Drosophila melanogaster: one gene and its partner. The protein of the gene in region 2 purifies or fractionates together with the protein of the main gene of each other region. This does not show direct contact. Each region holds a gene or a part of one and is shown on either strand. Other genes may lie near its edges.

What was found.
Region 1: the proteins of Cip4 (region 2) and SCAR purify together in Drosophila melanogaster (affinity purification with western blotting, with the first as the bait; 2 studies listed by BioGRID). This does not show direct contact.

The regions. Positions count from the first base shown.
Region 1 is NT_033779.5:10,974,996-10,982,771, reverse strand, and holds SCAR (SCAR), read right to left. Parts: upstream 6,001-7,776; 5' UTR 5,702-6,000; intron 4,875-5,701; 5' UTR 4,811-4,874; coding exon 4,066-4,810; intron 3,893-4,065; coding exon 3,791-3,892; intron 3,140-3,790; coding exon 3,059-3,139; intron 2,328-3,058; coding exon 1,660-2,327; intron 1,594-1,659; coding exon 1,344-1,593; intron 1,286-1,343; coding exon 1,107-1,285; coding exon of another isoform or gene 1,050-1,106; 3' UTR 377-1,049; downstream 1-376. Other genes in the region: piwi (P-element induced wimpy testis), read left to right, coding at 1-114; ATPsynG (ATP synthase, subunit G), read left to right, coding at 6,482-6,521, 6,611-6,870; abo (abnormal oocyte), read left to right, coding at 7,560-7,776.
Region 2 is NT_037436.4:4,360,952-4,365,886, reverse strand, and holds the start of Cip4 (Cdc42-interacting protein 4), read left to right. Parts: upstream 1-1,912; 5' UTR 1,913-2,024; coding exon 2,025-2,139; intron 2,140-2,759; coding exon 2,760-2,860; intron 2,861-4,935. Other genes in the region: CG33514 (uncharacterized protein), read right to left, coding at 1-27, 87-391; mRpS6 (mitochondrial ribosomal protein S6), read right to left, coding at 677-1,075, 1,142-1,186.

The DNA of each region.
Region 1 (7,776 bases), on a different chromosome or scaffold from region 2:
ACCACACGAGTGCCAGCAGTTTGCCAGTACGCTAAGAAGCTAGCTACCCTCGTGGGTACGAACTTGCACTCTATTCCGCAAAACGCGCTCGAAAAGAAGTTTTATTATCTATAATTGGATATAATTTAGAATGGAGTATTAATCCTTACTAAGAGGCCATATATGAAACTAGCCCAGACATTTATACTTTTTCAATACTTTCTTACTTTTGCTAAGCACTTCAGCATTTATGACTAAATATTTTGTATTTGAAATGCATTACTGCTCTTTTTTCAAACAAAAGCAAAATTGAGGATTAAGATTCTGGTATTTAAGCATAAGACCAGAGGAAATTCCCAAACAAACATTTAAAGTTATCTATCAAGACATGTTCATTAATTTGGAATATAATTACTTTATTTTTTATTGTATATTTTAGTTTATGTAAAGAAAAATTACATACATCCATGTTTGCTTACTTAACCACACATTCATGGCTGCTTATATTCGTGAAACATATTTTATTAATTATACAGGTATTTAACTTTCACAAGGATAATACAATTTCATAGCTTGTTGAGTATACTGAAATGCTACGGAGTTCGATATATTTTAATGTGTTTGTATTTACAAAATTCTAAATTTTCATTTTGGATAAATGTTTTATATTAATCGTATCGATTGCAAGTTGGGGTAGGATTGAGTTCAGTGATAATATCGATTATTTATAATTTAATATCCAAACACCGACTACTATGATACAGAAGCCCATATCTACTCAGACCTTGACTCCAAAGAAGCGAACAAAATTAGCAAGTCTTTTAAATCGCTTTCCTTGGATTGTCGTCTAGGCTTAAAATGCAAATGCGTTCGTTCACTATAGCGATTAATTTAACGATAATTACTCGTTGGTGTATATACAATTCAATGAAACTTTTGATTTTAGACATATTATTTAGGATTAGGTGTATATTGTATAAAGGGTGGTAGAAAAGCTTTGGTGCTTTTGTGTAATCCAATTTCATACCACGCTTGGTTTCGACCATCGTATGGATTAATTCTCTTTGGAATTACTTCTTCTTTTTGTTTTTTAGAATTATGTCAGGCTTTAACGAGTTAATCAGGGATCAAGCCGATGTTTCGTTCGGTTCCATCCAGCCCTCGCTGTCGTCTTCGCTATCCGAATCCTCGGACTCGGATAATTCGATAGCCACACGTCTGGCCAAGATTGAAGCCACATCCAATGGCGCCGCGTTTCGTTCAATTTCCTTTTGCTCTGACTTTTCAACTTTACGTAGAGTAATACCTGGAAAGATTAATTTGATGATATTTTTGCATTCGAACCTTGAATGGCAATTACTTACCATCTCGAATGGCCTTCATCAAGTCGTTGCGTGGGTCATGGAATGGAGGCAGCATCTTCTTGGGTGCGACAATGTGAGGCACACCATTTTGTTGGCCGGGCTGCTGCATTTCGCCATTGGCCAGTGATTTGGGAAGAATTTGATGCGGGCGCAGCGTGTGTTGGTTGCCACTGCCCATGCCTTCCTCGACTGGAGGCGGTGGCGGCGGCGGTGGTGGCGCGGCATTAGGTGGCGACATCTTAGGCGAGTGCTGTAAGGTTTTGCCACAAATTAAACCAAATTGTGATATATTAACACCCATCAGTGAACAACAAACCTGATCTGGAACCGGCGGCGGTGGCGGCAAGTCGCTAAGGGAGTTCAGTTGATTGCCCGTCATACCGATGCTGTGGAAAGTATTGCTCAGTTGCGTCATGACCATATCATTGGCATTCTGGACGCTGTTGGGAGATCCAGCTCCCGACGAACTGTTCGCCCGGCCAAGCAGTTTGGCCGCCATATGCCCGCTGTTGACTCCGTTCATGCCAGACATTGGTGAAATGACGTCTGGAACTGGTGGAGGCGGTGGCAAGGCATCCCGACTGGTCGACATACTTCTGCCCCTTGTCGGAGTGTTGGCATTGGAGGCTGTGGGCGTACCACCACCGCTGCCATTCGATGGCGGAGCCGGTGGCGGCTGCGACGGACGCGGTTTGTTACGCGACGGTGTTCCCGGTCCGTAGATGGGCTCCGGCGACATCACTCCCTGTCCAGTTTGGCCGTACAGCGCATGCGACTGATACATTCCGGCGTCATACATCTGCTGATGCTGCATGTGCATCTGCTGGGGGCCACCCATGCCGTTGCCGAAGGTGGCAGCATACTGATTACCCATCTGCGGTGGAAGCTGCTCGTAGGTGCTACCATCGATCTGCTCCGACTGATAGCTTCGGTTCAATTCGATCGAGTTAGGACGTGGCGGACGTGTATCGTACACTCCCATATCTAGAATAATGAATGTGAGATATTAGAGCCGTTGACTAACCACCCATTAAAATGAACGTTTTTACAGGACACACATCTCATTTAAAAACACGCCAATTATTTTGTAATTACAGCCGAGGAACAATAAGACACATATGTAATTACAAGCAATTCCAAATTTCTGTGCATATGAGACCGCTGGACTCGAATAGAAATTTTGTTGAATATACAAACATCCGATTAAAAGTCTTTGTTAGCTCGTTGCACAGAAAACAATTTAGAGATACTTTCGTAGAATAAGATGTGGCGACAGAAAGGAATTAGTAAAGCTGCAGAGTGACATGTAGACGTAGATATGGAAATTGACTGAACTACAACAGAAAGATAGGAGGATCCTAAACAAAAACTGCGGCTCAATCACGAATCGCGAGTATGAAATGAATTAAAGTATTATGCAAAATGCAAGATGCATTGTAAATATAATGTGCACACACATTACATTAAAATTGCAAGTTAGAAGGTGACTAGTTTACAGTGTTTTGAGATAATAAATCTGCACTTTGCATGACCAATGAAACTCATAAATCATCGCCATTCCGATTGATAGTTTGAAAAAGAGAGTGTTCTCTGTACACACAAATGCTAAAGGAACTCAAAAAGGATTGCTAGTAAGGTAATATGGGGATAGAAGCGAGTGAAAGAACATATATAGTCTTTACTGAGCTTGCTAAAAGTGGATGTGGATGTCTAACCTGCAATCGCAACGGCGGTTTGCTTGGTGACATTACTGTTATTCTCCAAATGCGAAAGCATATTATAAGGCTTTACTGTATCTGTAAATGAGATGGTTATGCGCGATTGATCCATTCGTAATTGCAATGCATATTTATGTTCACGTTCATTAATATCATAACCGAAAACAACGAAAGAGTAGTTCATAAAAACAACATGCAAATAAATAAAAGCTGCGAAAAATAATCGACCATTCGGAGAATGAAATTGTAAGGTTCTCTGACCGTATTGTATTTACCATCAACAAGACGAACTTCATTGGAACAAAGTCAGTGAATTCAAATTAGAGACAAATCAAGTTCGAAAGTCTTGCTAACTTACAGGAGGATGAACTAGACTGGCCATAGACCATTTTGCTAATGGTGTAATAATAATGAATTAGATCGAATATATCCTGTATCTGAGATTTTAATCAAACTTTAGATGGAATTTATGTTAAGTACCATTTCATTTATTTTTTAAGCTCTGGAAACTTTGTTTCGGTCACCTTTCTCTGGGTCATGATTGTGTGGGTTAATTTCAATTAATAGCAACTTCAAAATAATACAAATTAGTGATCTTCGAACTGGGTTTTGAGGCGCATCGAAAACTAGCGAGCTTTTGAGTGAAGTAGGTGAATGAATGGCGGGTACATCTGTATCGTGGGATGTCTGCCGGGCGGAAATGAAAGCTACGTGGCCCCATCATCGTACCTACGTCTTGGATATTACCGACAACTTGGTGGTGCGCATCGAGAGTGCTATGCCGCAAATCGATGTCAGCCTCGCCCACAGTCTGTATTTTGACTAGCTGAACTACACGGGCAGACAGGACATAATTGATAATTAAAATAGATGTACCATTCAATAGGCAAGACAAGTGCAAATAGTCAGTGCGCGAAACGAACGTACCAATAACAGCCTATGAATTTGGTTCGCACTGAATACTTGGCTCACACGGAGACCAATCCCTTTCGCCAAGTACTTACTTCCGTATCCGGCTTCTTCGTTGACCATGGAATTCGGTGTGCGGTAGATGACGTTGTTGGGCATCAATGTTTCGCCGTGCACCAGTGCACGTTGTCGCTGCTGTTCGCGCGTATTGTGCGGCACCCTTATTTTGGTCTTCTGTTTCTTATTGCCACGTCCAGCAGCTCCGCCGGCACCGCCATCCTGCCGCGGTCTGTTCAGCTTCTTGCCCTTGTCGTGCATCACACGTTCGGTATCCTTCAGCATCTCCTGTCGCCACAACTCAAAGAAGTAGTTCGGATCCGTGTAGAACTTAAGACCATCCTTGCCATCGTCTCGATAGACATTAAGCTTGTCGAGGGGCGGCGGTTTGTCGCACTGGGCATATGTGTCCATCATTGGTGCCGGCATGGTGGCGCGCGAGAAGATCTGTTGATCAAAAACCTTGGCCGACTTGAAGGCCTTCTTTCGGGTAATGTCCGTCAAGGGCACCTCCTCAACTGTGCTGTCCAGCTGGGTAACTTTGATAGCTAGGCGATCGATGCGCGCCTGCAGGGAGTTAGCTCGATCCCCGATGTTGCCCACGTCGCGGGCCAGTTCACCGAACACATCCTCTGCGTGCTTGGACAGCGAGGACAGCTGGCGAATGATGTTCGTCAGCGTGGTGTTGGTGACCGTCTCCAGCTCCACGGATTGCAGCTCATCCTGCTGATACACGGAGCGGGCCACATGCACGGGTTCTATGGATCGTTTGGGCAGCGGCATGGTCGGGCGCGATTGACAATTATCTCCAAATTGGCAAACCCGTAAATTAGTGCGTCCTCATCGACTGAAAACGGCATTAATAAGTAATAAATTGTTTTAATACGAATTAATGCATTTAAAATTAATTAAATATAAAACCCTTTATTTACTGATTTACTACATAATCTCATGCCAAATTGGGATCAATAATAAAAAGATTTCTTTTTATGCTGATTATCAATTGAAGACATTTCATTCCGATAAAATTGTACTTCCCAAATTGTCGTTTAACTTTGTTTATAAATTTTCCCGTAAAAGTAGACGTTTAAAAAGTTAATTGGATACTATCAAAATTGGTTTAAAAGAAATTTTGTCATCACTATACTAAACCGTCTATGAACAAGACTCAGAATGGTATTGCAGAAGATTTCACGAGACGCTTATCCATGTATCCATGAGACGTGTTCATTACAATCACCAAAATGCCATTTGAATTGTTTTGTGATATGCGCGACTGACGAACTCGACGTCTGGACCACACCCCACGAAACGATACCCACAGCGAGGTGATAAGGGCGTAACGCCCAAGTCACCCCCGCAAGATGCACCTTGCAGTCCCGGCGAGATTAGTCGATAATGCCCCCCTTTTCGGTGGCAGTTTCTGGGTGCTACGACCTGGGGCCTTTACGTGGGCACCTATTCCATACGTGCATATACGTATATCGTCGGCGGCCTCCCACCAACGCAAATTAGACCGTCACGCACTCACACACACGCATGAACCGCAGCAGCAGCAGCACCCAAGTAAATGTACATACATATGTGTGGGACGGAACGGCTGACTCTTTCAGATTTTCGCACTGAAACATTCGCACTAAATCGCAACAATGCACACACAAAGGTATCTCTCACACTTTCTAATCGTAGTGGCTGCTGCGATTTTGATTTTGGTTTTGAACGGCGCAGCTTAGTTTTACACAGTCCACCTCACTTTACAGCATATCGTACACTCACCGCCCGTCACACTTTTCGTTTGGCGGCTGGCACCACAACAAACATTAAGCAGCCACTTCCGTTTCGGGGGTTCGGTGGCAAATTCGATCCGATGCGAACTCTAATTAGCCAATTTGGGGCTTGAAAACTGCAAATATTTGCTCGTTTTGTGGAAACTAAGATTTCCACACCTTTGCAGTGTGACCGAAGCTTTGTGGTTCGAAAATACTGCAGGGATTCATCATTTCGGAAAATCAGACAAATATACTGCACGATGCGGTGGGGAAAAAGTTATTTTTATATTAAATGTAATATGTATTTTAATTACTATATTTAAATAAATTTTGCAAGGGAATTTTCAGTAACTCATTTCATATTGTTTATTTACTGTATAGAATGAAATATTTTAAATATAAATATATATTCAATTTATTTTATTTTATTTTAACTCTATATTATCCATAATAAGCTATTTTATTAACGTTATTTAAAATTACTGTTTGCAGTTTCTTCCATTAACTTTAGAAATGTATATTTGGTATTTTTGGTATTTATCCGCCGATCGATAACTAGTGCTCCAGCCCTGGCCCCAATGCATAACATCTCTGTTTCGTCGCACACTGAATAGGTAAGTTTTCCGCACATTTCGTTGATTTCCTCTTGTATAATTCCAACTGCTTGCAGAACCAAATTGAAAAGATGGCGAGTTTGGCTACCAAGGGATCAGGACTTGTGAACAGTGAGTGTCGTGAATCGAATGCAATCGAATGGATACACCACCATTGGCGCCTGTCAATCGCAAAATTATGTAATGATCACTTTTTGCAGGGCTCCTCACACAGGCGAGGCCCCAACTGGACGTGTTCCTGAAGTACGCCAAGGTGGAACTGACGCCCCCGACGCCCGCCGATATTCCGGCCATTCGCCAAGGACTGGGCAACATCATCAAGGGAGCCAAGACCGGCGCCTACAAGAACCTCACGGTTCGCGAGGCCTGGCTTAACACCCTGGTGACCGCCGAGGTCATCTTCTGGTTCTACATCGGCGAGTGCATCGGCAAGCGTCACATTGTAGGCTACAATGTCTAAGCTTACTATAGTCTCCGCTTGGCAGTCACTGGAATGGGCAACGTAATCCCTAACAGATGTGTATATTTATATGTCTGCGAACATTTCGACTCTGAATAAAGTGAAATAGTAATTTAAAATTCCGAAAATTTTCGAAAAATACATTGTTTTTTGAAAACCGTTAGAACGTTTGCGCGGGATTTGTGTAAGCTAAAGATGAGGTGATGTAAAACCAAGTTTGGAATTAAAAGTTGACGATATTTAATGATAAAAATTAAAAAAATATATGTAATGTTATACATCAAATGTTTATGAAACGGTGTCGTAATCAAAGAGGCTAATGGTTCAGAAATACATAATATACTTAGAGCATTTAAAAGCACTCAAGAATAATTTTATTTAAAAAAAAAAATAAATAAATCTAAATTTGCTTTTCATAGATAATTCATTTACACATTTTTTTAAACAAAGTAAAGTAAGATGTATTGAATTATTTTATTTATAAATAACGTTTTTTATTTGAATCTTGAAAAGCATTAATATTATTATTATTATACTTATATTTTTTAACAACAAAACTTTTGTAGACAGAGTAAATTTTTGTAATCTAACTGCGGTCACACTTTACTTTAGTTACCTTCCGATCGGAAGAAGAACCCGGCTGACATTAGGAATAGGAACTTGGCAGAACTTTCCCAGGATCTGTCAGAATGGCCTACAAGAAGCGCCTACAATCGCAGAACCTCGTGCATCTGCTGCAGAACCGCGAGTCCGGATACACCAACGTGGGCCAACAGCCGGGCAGGATGCCGCTGTTGGCCTACGAGCGTCTCTTCTACAAGTGCATCACGCCTTGCCTGACAATTGACTCGATTACCATTCCGCCGATCTACCTGCGCAAGTTTACGCCGGATGGCAGAAAACTGT
Region 2 (4,935 bases):
AGCGGAGTGGGCAGGTAGATGATGGCACTGAATTGACAGAATTGCATTGATAAATTAAATTAGTTAGCTGGCGTCAAAATCCTTACCCCGTTTGATGAATCTCCCGGAACTTGCTATCCGTGGTGTTGGTAACTCGGAAATAGTCCGGATACTTGGTCTTCAGCGTGTAGTACTTATCTAACTTGGACTTGGCCCGCTCCAAACTGTACTTGCAGCCGCGCAAGAAAGCCACCAGAAACTGATCATCCATTCGGGGATTTAGATGCGGCTGCTGCTCGATCCATGTCTTAAACGCCTGCAGATCGGCTTCGAGACGTTCGGGATCCTCCTTGAGCTGCTCCTTGGCAACTTTTTGCAGCTCTGGCGTAAGTGGACGGATTTGCGGTGACATTTCTAGGTCGTTTGCGGTCAGGAGGAAGTACTAGTGAACTGCTCGACGATTCTTGAGGCACTACCTGGACAATTTACGTTCTATTGATGGTCGATTATACGGAGCTTTATCAATTAATTGATAAGCGTCCGATTGGGCGCCATAAACCAAACAAAGACAAACATTGTGAAAAGTACTAAGATAACAGGCGCATTTCATAAGGAATGCTTCAGTTTGAATTAGCCAAAGATCGAGGAACCCACAACCGGTTTTAGCATACATAATTAACGCGTTTTATTTGGTGTTTTATTTTTGGAAGGGATAGTAGTCCAGGCCGGAGTTGTAGTTGAACTTCTTCTTTTGCTTCTTCTGGGCGGCCGCAATGATCTCCTGCACATCCTTGCGATACGCGGGTGGCAGCATCTCCTCGTGCAGCGTGCAGGGCTTCTGCTCGGGCTCCTCCACCTTGAAGATGTAGCGCCGTATGATGTCGATGTCGCGGCCAAACTCCTCCTTCAAGTCTGCGATCTTAGTGGGCGCCGTATCAAAGGCGATGGTGAAGTGGGTGCCTTCCCGGTGAACCACCCCGTGTTCGCTGACTTTGTGGGGCAGGGCGCGGGATCCCAGGTTCTCCAGCTTCCGGATAATGCCGCCCTTGTCCAGGATGGACTCGGCCGTTCGCCTAATCACGGAAATCAGTTCGGGCTGCGGGCGGTGTACAATTCTTATTTACTTTTATGTAACTGCCGGTGGATTTCATGTGCTACTCACGCGAGGCAATTGGCGGAGCACCAGTGCTAGTTCGTAAGAAGGCATTGTGACCGGTGAATTGTATGAGCTGGTAAGGAATTTAATTTCTTATATTAACGTTGTTTCTCTCAAGTTTTAATTCATTAAAAAGTTAGTAAATCTAATGTAATTGTTGACCCACCAGCTGATAGTGTTAACAGCTGATGCAAGGAAAGTACTAAAAATGATCTAGCGCCTGGCGCACATGCTTACACCTTACAGTGTGCCAAAATCTATTGCTCCAGTGAATTTAATGTTCAAATTAATATATTATATACAACAATAAGCGATGCTCTTGTTACTTTAAAAGCAATAAACAATAATAAGAAGTTTCTTCCAAGCTCAATAATAGCTTTCTTCATCTGTTTCAACGTTATGTTATTCCATAAAATTATTAGTTTTCAAGGCCACAATAATATATTTAAAAAGTCTACAATTAACGTTAAATTATAAAAAAAAATGGGGGCACGTATTAACGAAAGTTTCATATATTTTATATAATAATAATTAAACTTTACAGTTGCTCTCAATATGGGTTCATATCCCCGCTAGATGTTAAAGAGTTAGAAATTAGGTCGCCATCGGTCTCTGGTCACACTGCAAACGCAGAGGTGTGCCTATTCAAACACATTGCGGTCACACTGTGTATTGATGCCGAAGTGAAAAAACGAGCGGAAAGTTGCGAGCGGATAAAATTGTTTTTTCGCACGCCAAAAAGGAGAAACAAATGCTTGCGTTGTGTGAGTGCGGGTGTTTTAACTGTGTGCTTGTGTGTGTGTGCAAATGTCGCCCGAATTATGACGCATGCGAAAGTGCAGGCGCTAAATAAAACCCAAAATCGAAAGAAGTTGCAACTGCAAAGCAAATGCTAAAAAAAAAGTTAGCACAAATAACAAAAAAAAAAACGGTGGCAGATCTAGAAGCAGAGTGCGTGCATTCGGCAATTGCGTTTACTTGTGTGCGTGTGTGTGCGAAATTATGTAAATACAACAATAGTAGAATTCCAATTGTCCTCTCTTTCTGCTTTTCTCAATTATGAAATGCAGTTGCATCGCTCTCTATCTCTATCGCTCCCTCTCTCTCCTCACTCTCTTTGCGCATCGAAATGCCAGTGCATAGAATTTTCTTATTTTGCACTTATCACTAAACAACTCCCAAAAAAAGTGTTTAAATTCTCATTATCTATAATTTCCTTCAACTTCATTTTTCTACCTGCCGCTGCAACTGACACGTCTGCATTGCCACTCTTTTTTGTTTTTACATGCTTTCTTACCTGCCCAACCACCGAAAAAAAAAAAAACAAAAATGAAATATATCTGACTCGAATTGCTCTCTTTCATAGAAAATTAAACATCGCGCCGCGCAACGCTGAAAAAAATATAGAAAAACAAACGGAAAATGAAAACGAAAAAGCAGCCATAAAATTAATTAACCTTTGCGGGAAAATATAAAACAAAAACGAATAAAAGTTCTCATCTTTTGCTCTTCTCCCTCGCTTTCTACCTTTCTCCCTCTCTCCTCATCGTCTGTGGATTACATTATCTTCTGTGGATTATTATTATTAAAACAACAACAACAACGACGGCAACAACAAATACAGTGGCAAGCGGATCGAGCAGAAGCAGCAGCAACAACAAACTGGCCGAATCGGAAAACTCAGCGCAAAACTCCAACAACATGAGTTGGGGCACCGAGCTATGGGTGAGTTTTTCCTGGATTTAGAGGGGCTATATCTTCAGATAAGAAGTCGTATTTCATTGATAAAACAGGGGGTTCCTATAAGCAACAAATACATAGTTCTGCTTGTTTGAGGAGTATGAATGTATACCTATAGCTAAAAATCAAAACAAATTCGTAGTTTAGCTTGATCAGAATCATTAAGGTGTCCATTACCAGCTCAAAGAAGCTGGGGTCGGAAAAATCGAATTTTTGAAATTTGAAAGCTGGAATCGTTTGCCCATTTTTTGCCCATGTTTGCCCACCAATTAGTTTTTTTTGCCCACGTCCAGTTTTTGAGATATGAATTTTCGAAAAAGTTCGAAAATTTTCGAAAATCAAAAATTTCGCTTTTTTCAAATTTTTTTTTTTTAAATCGCAATAACATCGTTTGCCCACGTTTGCCCACCCTTTAGAATTTTGAAAAAATTTATACTTTAGAAAATATAAGGCTTTTAAGTTTACCTCGGTCTAATCAGAGAGTAAATCGTTTGCCCATCTCTTAAAACCAAATATTATCAACAAAAAACGTTTGCCCAACCATTATTATTAGTTTTTATCGTTTGCCCACCCTTTAAAAAACCTTTAACAAAAATTTTTTTTCGATTGCCCACACTTGAAATACAACTAATTTCGTTAGCCCACCTCTTCAAAATAAAACTTTTCAATAAAAAACGTTTTCCCACCATTTAAAAATAAATAATTTCGATTGCCCACCTTTTAAAACTAAATAATTTCGTTTGCCCATCCTTTAAAATTCATTTTTAACGTTTGCCCACCCTTTAAAATTTGTTTTTTTCGTTTGCCCACCTCTTAAAAATGGTTTTTTCGATTTTTCACCTATTAAAACTAAATTTGTACATATGTACATATGTAATAATTGTAAGATGTGGCGCCAAAAGCACAGTTACTTACAAAAGAACAGTTATTTACATATTTACATACATTTTCAATATATCCATAGTGTTAATCATTCATGAATTGTAACATCAATTTTTCTTAATCATTGTTTCATTTCATGGAAAATATTTTATATTGCAATATAATATATATGCAAAAAAATGTATGTATGTTTATCAACACTCTCCAAGCTCAAGAAAATTCTGGAATAAAATATTTTCCATGAAATGAAACAATGATTAAGAAAAATTGATGTTACAATTCATGAATGATTAACACTATGGATATATTGAAAATGTATGTAAATATGTAAATAACTGTTCTTTTGTAAGTAACTGTGCTTTTGGCGCCACATCTTACAATTATTACATATGTACATATGTACAAATTTAGTTTTAATAGGTGAAAAATCGAAAAAACCATTTTTAAGAGGTGGGCAAACGAAAAAAACAAATTTTAAAGGGTGGGCAAACGTTAAAAATGAATTTTAAAGGATGGGCAAACGAAATTATTTAGTTTTAAAAGGTGGGCAATCGAAATTATTTATTTTTAAATGGTGGGAAAACGTTTTTTATTGAAAAGTTTTATTTTGAAGAGGTGGGCTAACGAAATTAGTTGTATTTCAAGTGTGGGCAATCGAAAAAAAATTTTTGTTAAAGGTTTTTTAAAGGGTGGGCAAACGATAAAAACTAATAATAATGGTTGGGCAAACGTTTTTTGTTGATAATATTTGGTTTTAAGAGATGGGCAAACGATTTACTCTCTGATTAGACCGAGGTAAACTTAAAAGCCTTATATTTTCTAAAGTATAAATTTTTTCAAAATTCTAAAGGGTGGGCAAACGTGGGCAAACGATGTTATTGCGATTTAAAAAAAAAAAATTTGAAAAAAGCGAAATTTTTGATTTTCGAAAATTTTCGAACTTTTTCGAAAATTCATATCTCAAAAACTGGACGTGGGCAAAAAAAACTAATTGGTGGGCAAACATGGGCAAAAAATGGGCAAACGATTCCAGCTTTCAAATTTCAAAAATTCGATTTTTCCGACCCCAGCTTCTTTGAGCTTCCATTACCTCCTATATTCTTGGATATTAAAGAGGCGCTTATCTTCAGATAGGCTATATATATTGAAAGGCTCCAAACCTAAAATATAGATAGAAA